Oreochromis niloticus: one gene and its partner. The protein of the gene in region 1 purifies or fractionates together with the protein of each later gene. This does not show direct contact. Links are inferred from orthologs where the notes say so. Each region holds a gene or a part of one and is shown on either strand. Other genes may lie near its edges.

Region 1 (7,809 bases):
CTGCATTTTTTCCCCCCTCCTGCTTTTAAACTTTTAATGCATTGCTGTGGTTGGAGAGACTCGAGGACAGGTGGGGTAAAATGGCGACCTCTGTTTGCCCTTCGAAACATGCTGGACAATCTTAGGCACCTTAAGGTTTTGTCTTTTCTGGTTACTTTGTCCTTAAGAGGCAGACACCGGATAAAAAGCGGGAAACTGAATCGGGTGAGCTTTTCTTCTGGCCGATCTGCGGACAGCCAGTTGACTTAATTTTTGTTCTTTGTGCTCGTAAAAGTAGCACTTAAAAATGTGTGAGAGGAAATTGTGGAGCAACCATGGATTCCTGACCCCTGCTCGATGGTGAAGTTGCATTTTGTGGATTTAGGACTCATTTCAGTACTTCGATGGTGTCAGAGTGCTGCACCAGTCCTGAGTATGGAGTAGACCAAACTTTCCTTCTTTTAAATTATCTCCGACTTTTTGACATGTAGCCTGCAGGCTCTGCTGAGCCAGTTTCCTCACAACTGAGCTGCAAAACACACCAACTGGTCGTCTCTGTCTTTAATTAACTCGCTGTCATGCCGTGTATTAAATTAAAACAAAATACCAATGCAGTGCAAGGTGTTCAAGAAAAAGTCATCTTCCTGGATTGAGAGTTTGAAAGCAGAAAAAACGTTTATTTGCATCTTATTGATCTGTAGATATTTTTTGGTTGAGTATCAAACATCACATTGAAATTACAGACAGAAATGACTGTTTGTTGCAGCACAAAACAGTGGAGGTTTAACCGACGCTCTGCTCATTGGTCTGTTTCTCTGCATTGCATTTCCCCCAGTTGTCTCCACAGTTCTTCAGACTGTACCCCTCTCTCTCACGAGCTCTATAAGCATGAAACAATCCCAGTTTAGATTGATTCTGAACATCTTTATCTCCTTTTTTTCCTTCTTTTGGACCAAACGGGCGCAATATTTTGCACGAGGCAGAGCACATAACGAAGAGCAGCTAAATGAATAGGAAGCTACAAACTACACTACTTGTGTTTTCATCCAGCTGTTTGTTTGTGCACATTTATTTGATGATGGCATGAGGGGGCAATGACAAGTTTGGGAGAAATAACCCCCCAGAAAAAAGAGGTGGGTCAAAGTATAATGGAGGGAGATGCGATGTACCGTGTTTAATAAATTTATTAGACCACCTGTTATTTAAAAAAAAAAACATTAGATCAGAGTTATATCATTATTTCTGAGGCAAACTGAATTCATCACTTTACAGCCAAATGTGAGCCGGCACTCTGGACAGAAATAAATCAATCAACATTCAACCACAAGATTTTCTGCTCAGAAATGCATGTAAATGACTCTAATTTGGCGTCTTAGTCAAAATATATCATGCTTTCATTTTTTCCTTGTAAAACAGTAAATTTAAAAATTCATGGATAACAAAAATAACTATATTTTAGCATTAGAAATATTTTGATTCAAAAGCTTGCACATTCTGCTACACAAATGAATAAAAGAACAAATTTGTTAATTACCAATACTGATTACTTATGCAGCTGTGGCATAAACCTTATGTTGAGAGGTGGACTAATAAATTTAGGCACTGTGCATGAAGCAAGTGTGGAGCACTGAAGAAATAAGGTTTTGATGGTGTGCGTCCTAGCTCCTTTTACTCACAGTTGATGAAAACAGTTTCCCAGAATTCTCCTTAGCTCTGCACTACAGTTGGATTAAAGGGAAATGAACAATAACATTAATTTTCTCACCTGGTATCCTCACAGTCTCTCATTCTAGTGCAGCATGAATTTAAAATCAGCCGCCTGCTGTTGAGGTTTATGGTAGATCATCACGTCTGTACTGCCCCGCATCAGAGCAACTTGGATGCATGGCAATGAGCAGCTCTGCTTCCGATTGTGCTCAGGGTCTGAAATTAATCTCGCATCACATTTTTCTCCTGACCTCAAGTAAATCCTCAATTTTTTTTTCCTGATTTTATTTTGGTCCATCAGTCTCTTCACATCACTGACCAGGGTCCAGATCATTTCTAATAATCCTTCCATCCACAAGTAAACTACAGATAATGCGTTGCCGTCAACATTACTCTGTACTTCTGGGAATAGTTAACCTAATGCCACAAACCATGTAAGGAAGTTTGATTGAACCAAGGCTTCAGATGATCTGTAACCGGTTTATTATTGTCCCGAGTGTATTTGGGAAGATTATTCTTGTTCATATAACTGTTTCTTTCCAAGCATGCAGTGCTGTGTAACATTAAACACAAATAACATTCAGCACTGAAATTTTGTGGATGAAGTGCAGCCCCAGAGAGCTCAGCTCGCCTTCAGGATTAACTTCAGACCCTGATTTCTGATTTTGATTCTTTTTAATGTTTGTTTTTTCCTCTGTTTTAATGTTTGTGTCCAGACTTTTGTTTGTTGTTATTGTGCCATACCCATTTGGGTGATAGTGCCTAAAGAAATCTGAATGTTTTTTGTTATTGTACATGAGCTCATCGTTTTGTTTGTGGTAGTATGCCAACGCTTCAGCATGTGGCTTAGAGTGGTTAGCAATTAACAATAGTCCACATGTCTGTAAAATTATCAGAGTAAAACTTTGTAAATCTGCAACAGAAAACACAACAGGTGAATAATTATAACTTTAAATTACATGCAACTTTTACAGCTGTCACCACAGGGCAGCCAGGACCCACTGTGTGCAACAGAAACTATGACCACCTGTGGTGATTTATTCCTCATCACCCAACTTGTGTGCTGAAGCGTTGGTGGCTGAATCTGGAGCTCAGGTGAATCCTGTAACCTAAAGACTCTTTAAAAACCAAGTTTTTAGCCCTTCGATGACAGCTCAGTGCTCAAATCATTTACTTTCATCATTCAGTGCAATCAGCCTAGCATGAATGCTCATTACGTTTAACCAGAATGTGTCTCTGCAGCACTTTAGAGGGGTGGAAGCCCGGTCCACGGGGATGTTTGTTAATAAAAAATAATCCAAGGCAGCAAATTCTCTCTAATCTCCTGAGGAGTGTATTAATGCAGCTGCAAGAGGACCCCCTCATCATCAGCAAACGTGAAATAGATTTGGCTGCTGTGATAAATAATACTTGTATCAAATGAATAAACATTTGGGGAAAAAAGCAGTTTCCTGTTTATTTTCACGTTTTCTTATAGTTGTGATGAACAGGGGAAGATGGAAAAGGCAGGATGTGACATCTTATATGGAAGCTTATCAAAAGTTAAAAGGTTTGCTCAGGGAGGGATATTTACAGGTAACTAAAAGATAAGTGATGAGGTTGCACAGGTGGAAGCATAAAGAGTAGTGGTGTAGACACAGCTGCCTGACAAAGAAGAGTTCCGTGAAGGCAGACGAAGGGTAGGTTTTATATCTTTGGGCTCTGCCCGCATCATGAAAAGTGGCGAGAGTGAGACAAGAAGAAAGAAGCCATGGCAACAGGCATTGACCAAAATGAGGCATCCATCCCTCTGTGACACTGACACAGCTACATCATCAACTGTTTTGTTACGAGGAGCTATGTTACAACTATTGACTCTATGGTCTCAGGTGTAACAGTGTTAATTGCATTTTTTTATATTTATGGTCACTTTTAATTTAATTCACAGCGGGACACAATGTTCAAGGTGAAATGAACTCAAGGTTGGATTATTTTAATGTTTGATTATTTTAACGTTGCTTAAAGCATCTTCCTCCTACCTTTATTTGTATGACCCAGGTGTGGCCACACCTCTTCTATACCTGAAGCTAAAAAGACTTGTGCAAAGCATACACCTTTGCATCTCTTAGATATAGTCTCCTGTCTCCACTCAGCATAGAAATTAGTACTGAGACTGATTTTGATGTCGGAGGACAGAAAACATCAAATAAACATGCACATATATATGACTTCTATTTGCTATTACGTGATGTGTACGTGACAAATAAAAGGTTCTTGAGTCTTGAATCTTAAAACAAGCACTAATTTGATAAATACCAGTAAAGTTAACCTTCAATACATAATCATATATGTCATACATAATCATACAATCATACATAATGTGTGTGTGTGTTATAAATGTTACAAGTGCAACTCATGTTTTCACTTATTTTCTATGATGATATGTGGTAAACTGACAGTACCATTAGAGCTTGATCAGAATGAGGATTGGAAACATATTTCTTAATGGATATGAAAAAGTTTGGAAATTAAACTTGCAGACTTACAAAAGTGCCATTGTCCATTGCCAACTAGAATGTGTGTAGCATATGAAATAATGTCAAAGTGCACAGATTAAATTAAAAAAAAATAATGAATGAAAAAGGAGTGAATCGCACTACTTATTTATTTATGCATCTATGTATGTTTTGCCTTCCACACATGACGCCTGCGCGGCTCCGTGTCCTTGGATATTTTTACGCCCATTTCCTACTCTCCCGCCTCCTTATTTGTTGACCGCTGTGATTGGCTGTTCGAAATGACACGTTCCAATCAACCTATGAGGTGCCATCTTGATTGGCTAAAATTCGCCAGCTTCCACTATCACGTCACTCTAGTTCGACAGAGGACAGGTTCAAGATGGCAGCGTCCCTGAGGTGCTTTCTCCGCTCCGGAAAGGTATAGATTAAATCGATGTTTTTAAAGCAGTGTTTGGTCTTTCTTGGAATGTAATGTTTGTGCTCTCGCTCTGTTCTCCTGCAGAATACCGTGTCAGCTCTGCAGCGGCGGGATTTTCACAGGAGCGCTCCGGCCGCAGTACAGGTCAGTGTTAGCAACTAGCAGGCTAGCTGTTTCTACAGCGAATGATATCGGTAAATATAGTTTTGATTGCACAGACAACAATAATAGGCTGAAGATTGGATGGGGGCTTGTTTTAATCAGCAGCTGCCTGTTTTAAATACGTGTGTTAAGGTTTAGGGGTCGTGCGGTTGTGCGGTCACTGAGCAGAGGGATGCGGGTTTACATCACATCAGCCCTCATCGCGCTGACAGCTGTCTCACATTAACGTAAATCACTGTCAGGAGTTTGAGGGGAAAACTATTAAAACAAAGCTTAAGCTCTGAAACAGTGCAGACAACAAAATGCACACTTTTTAAGCAGAACAGCAAGAAAAATCCTGGAATTTGGAGTATTTTAAACTCCAAAACGAGAAGTGCTGCTGGAATACACATGCAACATCTCGAAGTGTCTTTAAATATTGTAGCTGCATCTGGGGTTGCTCGTGTATTTTAAGCAATTCCTTAATATAATTGGCAGGAGGATAAAATTAATCAAGGCATTTTCACCGAAGTACAAACTGCATCTTTCGCTTGTCATTAAGAGACTGTAAATGGAAGATGGTTGTGATATTGTGACATCAGACTGTGCACTCTAGGGCGGAGTAATGGACAGGTTTAAGGTCAGAGCACTGGTTTTAAGTGGCCATTAAATTGGTGACAAAACTAAACAGATGTAAATAATTTCTACTTGTGTTGGATACAAGTAACTACCAAGAATGACTTTCAGCTTTTGAGTTCTGAACTAAAACCTTCAGTCTTCTGATAGCCACTTGAGACTAAAGTCTCCGGAAATTGTTTACAGCCCTATATGAAACAGGTTTTGGATGGAAACTTGCTATTGTTGCGTCCATAAGTTAAAAATTTAACTTCAGTATGTGGAAGCCAGTGTTTTCTGTGACGTGTACTGATTGTTTTGTTGCCAATGTTAGATGACAGTCCGTGATGCCCTGAACCAGGCAATGGATGAGGAGTTGGAGAGGGATGAGCGGGTGTTCCTGCTGGGTGAGGAAGTCGCCCAGTATGACGGTGCTTACAAGGTAAGTTTAAAGCTCAGATTGCGAGTGAAGTTCCTGGAGGCAGTTTGTGTTCTGTCCCAATGAGGGCAGTCAGACTAATGGTGGTTACTGGTGCAGGTGAGCAGAGGGCTGTGGAAGAAGTATGGAGACAAACGAATCATTGACACTCCAATCTCAGAGGTGAGCTCCAAACGACCTGCCCTACAGATGTTTTCCACAAATCTAAGTATCACCACTGGTGGTGTTGGACTCATTTTAGTAACGTTTTGTTTTTGGTGCAGATGGGGTTTACTGGCATTGCAGTAGGAGCTGCTATGGTAAGTCTGACCTGTTCCTGATGGGATGGGACTATATTAAACTGACTTTAGTTTGTAACATTTTTACTTGAGTCTGTCTAAAACATCATTCTAAACCCTGAATAATCTTGAGTCCATTACCTGAGATAATGGGCTTAAGTTTAAGAGCTTCATAATTACACTTGAATTCTAAGCAGTAATTCAGTTCTGTGCACACTTTGCTCTCTACAGACCTGAATTATGGCTCCATTGCCCACCAAATTAGCTTTACACCTCAAGACCAATGAAGCAGTACACAGGCAACTCCCAAGCCACTTTGACTTGTATAATAAAGCACTTTTCCTACCTTGAAGCCATAAATGCCAAAATAAGAGTTCCTTTAGACTAGAATTCTTCAAAGTACAGATTATGAAAGCTCTTCAGATTCAAACTACCCTATTATACTTGAAACTTGCAATCGACAAATTCCCTAACAAGATCAATGTCCTCTTGCAGGCTGGTCTGAGACCCATCTGTGAGTTCATGACCTTTAACTTCTCCATGCAAGCCATTGACCAGATCATCAATTCTGCAGCAAAGACCTATTACATGTCAGCTGGGCTACAGTCAGTTCCAATCGTTTTCAGAGGCCCTAATGGAGCGTCAGCAGGCGTCGCTGCACAGCATTCACAGTGCTTTGCTGCATGGTGGGTTCAAGACGTCACGTTACTGTTTGCAGTAACTAGCTGATGTTTGGCAGGTCTGACATCAGTGTGGTCATTTGTCTCCAGGTATGGTCACTGTCCAGGACTGAAGGTTGTAAGTCCATGGAACTCAGAAGATGCTAAAGGCCTCCTGAAATCAGCCATCAGAGATGAAAATCCTGGTGAGATGCCACACTGAAAAGCTTAAAACATGGATGTAACCCTGCATATCAATGTTCAGGCACTGCTAGCTCCAGTTGATTACATCAGTGTTTAATTAAATAAGCCAGCTTGTCCCTAATGTGTCTCAGCCAATAGTCAAACAGTAATTCAAGCATTGTTGGACTGCAACTGACTAGTTCTTGTTCTGGGGTCTGTTCTTCGTACCTCGCTAAGTAAGTAGCTGGATTTGATTGTTGACGATTTCGCGTGATCTTGGATCGTTCGGTTCTCCGAAGCTCATCCGGGACTTGCTGTCATAGCAACAGATTCGTAAGCGTAAACCTGCTTGGGAGTAGGCTTACTTTATGTAAACAGGATTAGATCGCGGCCACTCAGGTATGTACACTTCATTTATACGAAAGCAACAGCGATATTTCTCCACTGTTTTTTTCCATAAATAAATATTATCAATGTAACTAAAGATAATGCAGTATTTGATTCCTTTATTGATTTCATACAGATACATACAGGTCATTTCCTAAAAAAGGGAACTGTACTATTAATCATGCTATTTCATGTATTTGATTATTTCAGATGTAATTCATATTTTAGAGTAGTAATAGTAGATTACTTCGTGTAATCAAGATGAGAGACTGTTAAGAGATTTTTTTTTTTTTTTTTTTTTAAGCGGCGTGGTCTCCTGACAGAGACCACGGCTATAAAAGCGAAGGTGGATTTGGGAAGTCTGTCGCAGCCATGTCCTGTCCGTTTGTACCCATTGCAGAAGGTGCAAGATTGATAAGGAGAGTTTTCAGAATTCAGCAGATATTGCGGGATAGACAGGATCCTTTAGCTCAGCGCGACAGTGTGATCATAGAGAGAGCGATTT
Region 2 (8,361 bases), on another chromosome or scaffold:
TTTAAAAAGATGAAAAAAAAATGATAATAACCAATTTTTTAAAGAGTTTTCAGATGTTTCTTTTCAAACAGATGCTTTTTCCAAGTACCAAAAGAGCACATGTTGATAACACATTCAAAGCACATGTGGCAAAGAAATGTATGTAGCGTGTTTTGACACTGATACTGTGAAGTGTACTTTGGAAAGGATGATTGTTCACTGCTTAAAAACCAAACAAAAAAAAAGAAACAATAATAAGAAAAAATAATAAGGCCAAAGCACAGCACTGAAATACCAGAATACATAAACTGGTGATGAACTAGAAATATTTACAACGTAACAATATGGTTTGTACTATTTCATACTTTGCATCAATTGAACTGTCCAGAAAGTGTGTAAATGTTTGTTGATATTACAAATAAAGCTTGTAACTGTTTTTATTTTATGAAACTCTTTATTTTCCTGAATTCCGTGTGTACAATCTGAATGTAAATTAAGAAACTGAAATCCGTCCATCCATTTTTTTAACTGCTTATTCAATTCAGGGTGTCAGGGACTGGAGCCGGTCCCAGCTGTCATTAGGCGAGAGCAGATACTCTGGACAAGCACACTCGCATTCACACCTACGGCCAATTTAGAATCACCAGCTAACGAGCATGTCTTTGGACTGCGGTAGGGAAGCCAGAGTGAACCCGAGCAAGCACAGGGAGAACATTCAAATTCCAAATATAAAAGCCCCAGGACCTGAGACTGAATTCAAGAATTTTAGTTGTATGAATCAGCATTGGACATTTACATGTAAATCAGCATTTGGCTTCAGTCTAATATGCAAACTGCAGCTATTCTTGCCCAAACTTGAACAATATTGATGAGCTACAGAGTGCTGTTTAGATCCACAAGTGAAAGCCTTGTTTCCACTAAATCTGTTACAAGCTTGACTCTGAAAAGCCATGCACTTAAAGATAGTGCTGGTAGTTACTGCTTTATCATGACAGTGTGAAATGCCACACAGTTAATTGTTTGCCACTGTGTGCCGTAGCTGCCAAGCTGGTTCCTGCAGGCAGCAGACAAATGAGAGGGCCTTGATGGCCAGCAAGATAAAGGTAGTGCCAGTAAAAGACTGCCTTCTTTGGCTTGCATTTGCAAGCAAATCCATGGCTAATCTTAACTTTGATTAATCTGGCTTTTGCAAGCCTTCTTTACATATTGATGACTGACACCACGTTCAGTCGTTATCTTTTGCACTTTCGCACTGTGCTGCACTGCATTGTTTTCAGTTTAGTCACTATTCTGTCTTATGCGTATGCGTCATAAGGCAATAACTGCATGCTGTAGACTGAAAGACAATACATGTCCTGTTCTTAAAGTATAATTGTCAATAGCTTGTGATCAGAACTGATGGAATGTATGAAGGATAAACAGAACACTCCTTATTGGTGAAAAAACATATCTGAGTAGAGGCGTTTCAAGGATGGGTGAATGAATTGATGTAAAGTGGTACAAACAGAATCTTCCTGATTGGACTGAAATAATTGCTAGTGATTGTCGTATTGTTGTATTACATGAAGTAATGTAATTCAAAATGAAGTGTTTCTTCATCAAATCCCATTGTTTGTTTTTAGAGTTATTATCAAGAAATCACACTCTATAGTTTCTCTGGAGCTGCTTTTGTTATGATCCATACATACATTTGAAATGTATACAAAATCAAACGTAGTTGTATTTAAGGCTCGATGTATACAAAGTTACAGATTGTACATGACCCTTAAATAGTGAAAGGAAAATGGAAAATGTCAACTATAGTTAAAAAAAAAGTATCAAATCAAGTGTCAAAATCAGTTAACTGAATTTTTTTTTAAAGCAGCTTTGTGTCATAACATCCGTTGTGAACTTCCTAAAATTTACTTCTCACAAATAAGACACATAATTAATGAAGAAAGAAATGATAATGAAATTAATCTGTGCTGTTTATGTGACAAGAAAATTTCAAAATTGACTAACAAAACTAATGCTCTGGATACTCATGGCGAAAGATGCAACTGTCAAGCAAACACCAAGGCAGATATTGAATTGTGTATTATGTAACCATTACTGCATTTGCCCGTGATACCATACCAGTAAGTGGTTTAAGGCAAATTAAGGCTCATTGCACATGAACGCTGATATACTGTATTACAAAGAGATGAATTGGGAAATTAATGAATGTAATGACCAGAAGCACAGGAATACATCAACAGCTCACATTTAGCCTTAGTTTGACTTTGTAATAATATTAAGCACATTATATCACTGCTGTGAGCTGTGATAAGACAAGACTTTGATGTGAGTCACTGAAGATGATTGAGCAGTTATGCAAATGTTAGACTCACGTAACCTCTGCAGACAAGAGCATGATTTTCCTAACAGACCACTGCCCAGTGATCACAAATCGTAGCTTTACATACTTCTGATACTGTGACACGAATAGTGCTGTATGTGACCGAATGGCTCCCAGAAGCAAGCTGCACGTATGACAAGACACCATATCTGACAAATTCAAGAGAGCACCGTTAAACCAGCGTGACATGTATTTACAGGACTTGGTTCTAAGTCATCGAGTGCTGGTAACGAAAGCATTCATGCAAACATGCGCCCAAACCGGTTGTAACAGATCTGGGAAGGAAGAAAAAAACACATTTGCACCTGAGGAGATATTTAATCCATGTGCCTCACTTTAGCACTTTGAATTCTTGTGTGAGTTTTTTGTTTGTTTTTTTGTTTTTTTTTACAGACATGCTATTATAATAAGAACAGTCCAGACAATTGTCTAGGAAGATGACAACAAAATCTACATGGGGTGGAATTATCTAGTGGTCTCCTTGTTCTGATTTATTAGACAATGGCTGCCTTTGTTTGGCCAAAAAGCATATGCAATACCTCCCCACAAGTACCTTTATCTCTTATAGTTACAAAATGATTTTCTGATTTGAATAAACCAAGCAAAGGGTATTTTATTATTTAAAAGGGAGAGCATTAATTCAATCAGATAGATTCAAGAGGAAGAACAGGGAAGTGATAAAAGATAGCCTAAGCATGGGCATGAAGACAGCAAGATGTGATTTTATGTCTGCATCCCATGCCAATAAGTGGGGCTATTGTGTTCTCTCAGTGGATACACTGGCTCAGCTTATCTGGGCCCCTTATCATTTTTGTCTCATACTCAAATGGACCTGTGAGGCGTCCAACCCAACACTGTGAGTTGGAAAGATTAGTGCTGTGTCACTGATGCAGCTTTGCTTTTTGGGGGTAGGGGCAGGTCTATCTAACAGTTTATTACCCATTACAAAATGACACACTAGATCATAGTCTTATGATAAGGAAGGAAAGTAGCATTTAAACTACTTGTGAAGAAGGAAGAGTGAAGAAATTAAGTATTTTGGTTTTTCTTCTGCATTTGCATTAAACAAAAACTAATTCTGAAATGACCTTTGTTCATATTTTTTGCTGTAACCAAAAACATGAGGAAGTATTCATGAAAATGCACAAATTATTTGTTTCCAGTATGTAACGAAGCCAATATCCTTTGTAGATTTTGGAGTTCCCATTAATGTTTATTTCCTTGTCTGCATTTGGCCATTAATTGAAGCTGTAATTTCCTTGTGTCAACCAAAAAAAAAATAGGTAGAATTTCAGTGTCAAGTCTACATTTTTTTGCAAAAAACATGAAGGTTAAACGCATTAGTATTATATTTGAAATGTGTGATAATGTTTTTTGGCGTGAAATAAAACACAAAGTTCATTATTTCTGCTGTTATTTAAAATAGTTAAATAACTGTTTTATTGAGTAAAGTCACAAGATTTCCTAAACCCAAACACAATGCTCATTTTTCTTGGTTTGACTGAATTTCCCTTATCCTCAGTGAAAACAAAGTTCAAAAATAATTTGAACATCAAAATATTAAAAGCATATAAACCAGCTCTACCACTGTTGCAAAACCAAAGCAGCTAAATAAAACCATCCACCATTACCTCTGTTATTTATATTTCTTGTTAAAATCTCATGAAAATAAAGACTGCAGGATCAAATGTTCACACTGGTATGTTTTTTTCCCAGAATAGTCATGATACTGTCTTGGACACAGTTCGCTACCAGCAGCACAACTGAGATTGATGACAGATGACGATAAAGTTCAGGATAGATATGACATTTACTCATTTTCTGGGCTTGTTTTGTTTTCAGACAGGTAGCATTTTACTAAAAATCTATTGTTGTCAAAAAGTTGCAAAGTAATAAACTCTGGTGTCTTCATACATTTTTCTATTCAGTCAAAACTGTGTGAGAAATAAATAAATATACTAAATAGATCAATCCTAGGCTATATAATATTTGTGCAACAGTTTTTTGTTTGTTTGTTTTTTATGTAATTTGCCTGTTGAGCCAAAAAAGATCTTGCCTGACAGCAAGATCTTTCCTGGTTCCAAAAGTGCTGCATGCATGTTCTCACTGTGTCTATGTGGGTTATCTCTTCCTCCCACAATCCAAAGACATGCATGTTAGGCTGTGATACACTGAGCTCTCCAGCGTGTACCCCACCTTTTTCCCTTTGACAGCTGGGATAGGCCCCAGTCCCCCTTCAACCCTGAATGAATAAGCAGAATAAAAATGGATAAAGAAACATTTTGAATTAAATGTCGTTGGTAATATGTGTGCAATTTACAATGCATTTATTACAAACATTTTTGTCTAAAAGTCTCTGAGTTACAGAGAGAAATACTAAACCAACGACACACTCTTCCATAATGAAAACACTTGTTTTATAGATGAATTAATAAATAGTTTTGTTGTGGTAACGGGAATGAATTTGTTCTTCTCACAGCCTGGCTCTGCGTACATATCTTTCCTCTTCGATGTAGTACTAACAACAACAACAGTTTCAGCATGAGCATCGACCCTTTTCATCCTTTAACAAATTACCTTCACAGCAGAGGGCAGTAGTTCACTGAGTCTATTTAAAAGCGACAAAACTACATTGTAAAAGCACTTGAAGGACCAATATAGGTAGGACTCTTGTTGCCTGCTCGTTAATGTCAACACGAGCTTATAATACATTTATCACCGGGGTAATTTTTTTCATTGGTCCAGTGTTTGTGTTTGAACATTTTTCTGTGCTTCATGTTTTTCTTTTAAAAATACAGATTTTATGGTAGAAAACGGCTCTGTCTTTCTTCACCCCACCCCCCTCCTTGTTTTTTTGTCGTCAGGCATCTGTATGGACACGTCTCGGCGACGGAGGACGATAACATGGCGGCCTCCTTGCGTTTGGGTCGTCAGGGAATGTTATTTGGCCTCAGACTGAATAATTTTAATAAATGTTTAAGGTCGACACACCAATGGCAAGACCAAGTCAGACACTTCTTTCGGTCGCCATGGGTACTCGGTAAGTGTTGACAGTTTACCAGGTAAATGGCTGTTGCCCTTTCTGTGCTGACAATCGCTGGCATTTGCAATCGTCACTACCCTTTAATGGTGCAACGTTACTTTGCTCTCGTTTTGTCATGGCATGACAGATAGCAGCAGTGTTGGTAAATGAGAGGGTTGGCATGAGTGTTAAACGAAAAGTGTGATGGTTATTTTTTGCAGTTAACTGTATGGAAATCTGCTAATACCGCTTTCTAAATCACTTGGATTATCTTGCATCCCTCCAACCAGTCCTATTTCTCTCCCTGTAAGCCAACTTCCCTCATCAAAGCTGTGTCACGTTTGTAGCAGTACCATTAAATCTTAAAAAAAGAATATTAGCTCCAAAAAGTTCTAACAGTGAAGCGGCAAGGAGGAGAAAGAGTGAAGGTAGATGAATTTAAATACGTAAGGTCAAACATCCAAAACAATAAACAGTGCAAAAGAGAGGTGAAGATAGTGTAGACAGGGTGCAGATGAGTGTCAGATGTGATTTGTGATAGTAGAATGAGTGAAAGGGAAGGTTTACATGATGGCAGCCAGACCTGCTGTGATCTAAGGTCTGGAGACAGTGACACTGACTAAAAGACAGGAGACAGAGTTGGAGATGCTAAGATTTCCATTGGGAGTGAAAAGAATGGACAAAATTAACACTGAGTATATCAGAGGGAGAGCTCAAATTGAACGTTTTGACAAAGTTAGAGGCGAGGCTGAGATGGTTTGGATATATTCAGAGAAAAGATAATGGATATGCTGGGCAAAAGGTATTGAATGTGGAGCTGCTTGGCAGGAGGAAAAGAGGAAAGACCACAGAGGATGTAGTGGAGAAGATACAGACGGTTGGTGTGACAAAATCGGACGTTGGGGATAGGGTGCTATGGAGGCTGATCTGTTGCCATGACTCTTAAAGGGTTCCAAATGTGGTATATCAGAACTTTATTTAAAGGCAGCTTATTGCGAAACCTTAAACTAGCTCTTTCATGATGATGTTGTTTTAGGGCACTGGCACTTCACTATTTGCAGATTTGAAGAGATGCACTGAAGCTGTTCTGGTGGAACTTGTTGTGCCCATGATATGCCCATGATTCCCACGCTTAATTACATTTTTGTTTTCCCATTGTGACATGTAAACATGTCAGTGATGAAAATAAAATATTCAGTCCCAAATTCACTGTGAGCATATGGATTTCATATGGAAAGTTACACAGATGTCATTCTTTGACAGTGAATCTCATCCAGAAATAAATCTTTAAGCATGAAGAAGATAAAATATAAACAGACAGATTTTCTGTTTTTGAGTACTGAAGCAACACGTATGACATATAAATACACAACTCTTTACACATTGAAGTTTTGCACCACTGCCAAACATACAGCAGGTGGCAGCAGCTCACAGTTTGGCTCAAGACCACGCAACATGAAACAAAGGCCATGTAACACCCTCAATAAAAACTAACATACCAAAAATTTGAATCATCGAATCCCCAAATAATTTCATTTTTTATTTTACATTACATGTATATGACTTTAATCAGTTTAAGTTGACTAACTCGACTGCCTGAGTTTTATTATGTAAGATTAATTTAAAGTGTGGAGTCAAATGGAAAGGTTTTTTTTTTTTTTAACTTTTAGTTTTTGGTTTTCTTTTACCTGTTTGGGTTAATCTTGTATTCTGCTAACAGAAGCTTTTTTAAAAAAAATATATGCATAAAAAATATCATGCATAAAAAAATTCTATTATAAATGACTGTAATATGTGTGTAGTTCAGTGAACATAAAGAATGTGTAAAATAAAGGGCTATGCATTTTAAGTTGTACGGTGTTTGAGCTCTAAACCTTATTTTTGTTGCTTTCAGCTTTACTACCATATGTAGTAAAGCCGTGATCTTGGATGTATGTTTTCTTCTGGCAGCCTGAAGCTCTAGTGTGAACTGTGGCCTTCTGTGTGACTACAGATGGTGACAGTTGGGGACCACAATGATACAAATGCCTCTGCAGCTTCTGGTGCGGTGTCATCCAGGAGCACAGTTGTATAAGTGACATGGCAGCATTTTCATGGTACTGCTGTCTCTTGTGCTCTGCTGCAAGTTGAACATACTGACCCCCAAGGGCTTTGTTCGAGCTATTCAGTGTTACTTCTGAGCTTGTTACTTGATGCATTTTGACATTCACATATTTTAGATGAAATTGCAAAACCTTACTGGAAGGGCTAATTTTTTTTCTCTTCTGAAAGAAGGGGGGTGGGTGGGGAGGTGTTTTAAATTTAAACTAATGAAACCCTTGACATTATGTGTCGTCGTAAATCATATGTTATTTTCTTTCTCTCCTCTAGGTGTCAGTCCACTCAAAGTGCAGATGCCCGCACTCTCTCCTACCATGGAGCAGGGAAACATAGTCAAATGGCTGAAGAAGGAAGGTAAAGAAAGCACATGTTGACAAAAGACTTTATTAGAAAATTTAACAGACACTCATCACACATTTGTACTGAGCTTCTTTGACAGATTTTAAACCTCTGTGCGTTTTAATGTGTTATCCAAAGGGACAGATGCTTCACTTTTCTTGTACTTGTAATATCCTCCCCTGTAGTGCTTTTGTAAATTGAATGCTCAGTTGGTTTCCAAATATATTCAGTTCTTAAAGTAAGAGAGGGAGGCCTGAGAAATGGGTCACCTGAGGGCCTCTGGTGGCTAATTGGCTCAAGGACCATGGCAGTCATTATCAGTCACTGTTTAGCAACTCTGCATAGCCAGGATCCTTAGCCACACACTCATTTATCAAGAGGCCAGATGCTGAATTCTGATTGGCTTCTCTGCTGTGTTGCTATGTGCTGTGACTTGACGTTAGATGTGAGTTTGTTTGTGTGTGAGTGAGTAAGAAAGGTGGAAAAAAACAGATGAATTATTTAAGAAAAATATATCTACAATACTACAGCTGCTTGAACTCAT

What was found.
Region 2: the proteins of pdhb (region 1) and pdhx purify together in Homo sapiens (affinity purification with mass spectrometry; 4 studies listed by BioGRID and IntAct, counting the BioPlex papers as one, with this or other methods). This does not show direct contact. The link is inferred for Oreochromis niloticus from reciprocal best matches to the Homo sapiens genes PDHB and PDHX.

Annotation. Positions count from the first base shown.
Region 1 is NC_031970.2:12,961,927-12,969,735, reverse strand, and holds the start of pdhb (pyruvate dehydrogenase E1 component subunit beta, mitochondrial), read left to right. Parts: upstream 1-4,481; 5' UTR 4,482-4,563; coding exon 4,564-4,602; intron 4,603-4,686; coding exon 4,687-4,746; intron 4,747-5,692; coding exon 5,693-5,800; intron 5,801-5,896; coding exon 5,897-5,959; intron 5,960-6,060; coding exon 6,061-6,096; intron 6,097-6,570; coding exon 6,571-6,761; intron 6,762-6,845; coding exon 6,846-6,940; intron 6,941-7,809. UniProt on the Homo sapiens protein: The pyruvate dehydrogenase complex catalyzes the overall conversion of pyruvate to acetyl-CoA and CO(2), and thereby links the glycolytic pathway to the tricarboxylic cycle.
Region 2 is NC_031972.2:58,427,077-58,435,437, forward strand, and holds the start of pdhx (pyruvate dehydrogenase protein X component, mitochondrial), read left to right. Parts: upstream 1-5,220; 5' UTR 5,221-5,260; coding exon 5,261-5,396; intron 5,397-7,748; coding exon 7,749-7,832; intron 7,833-8,361.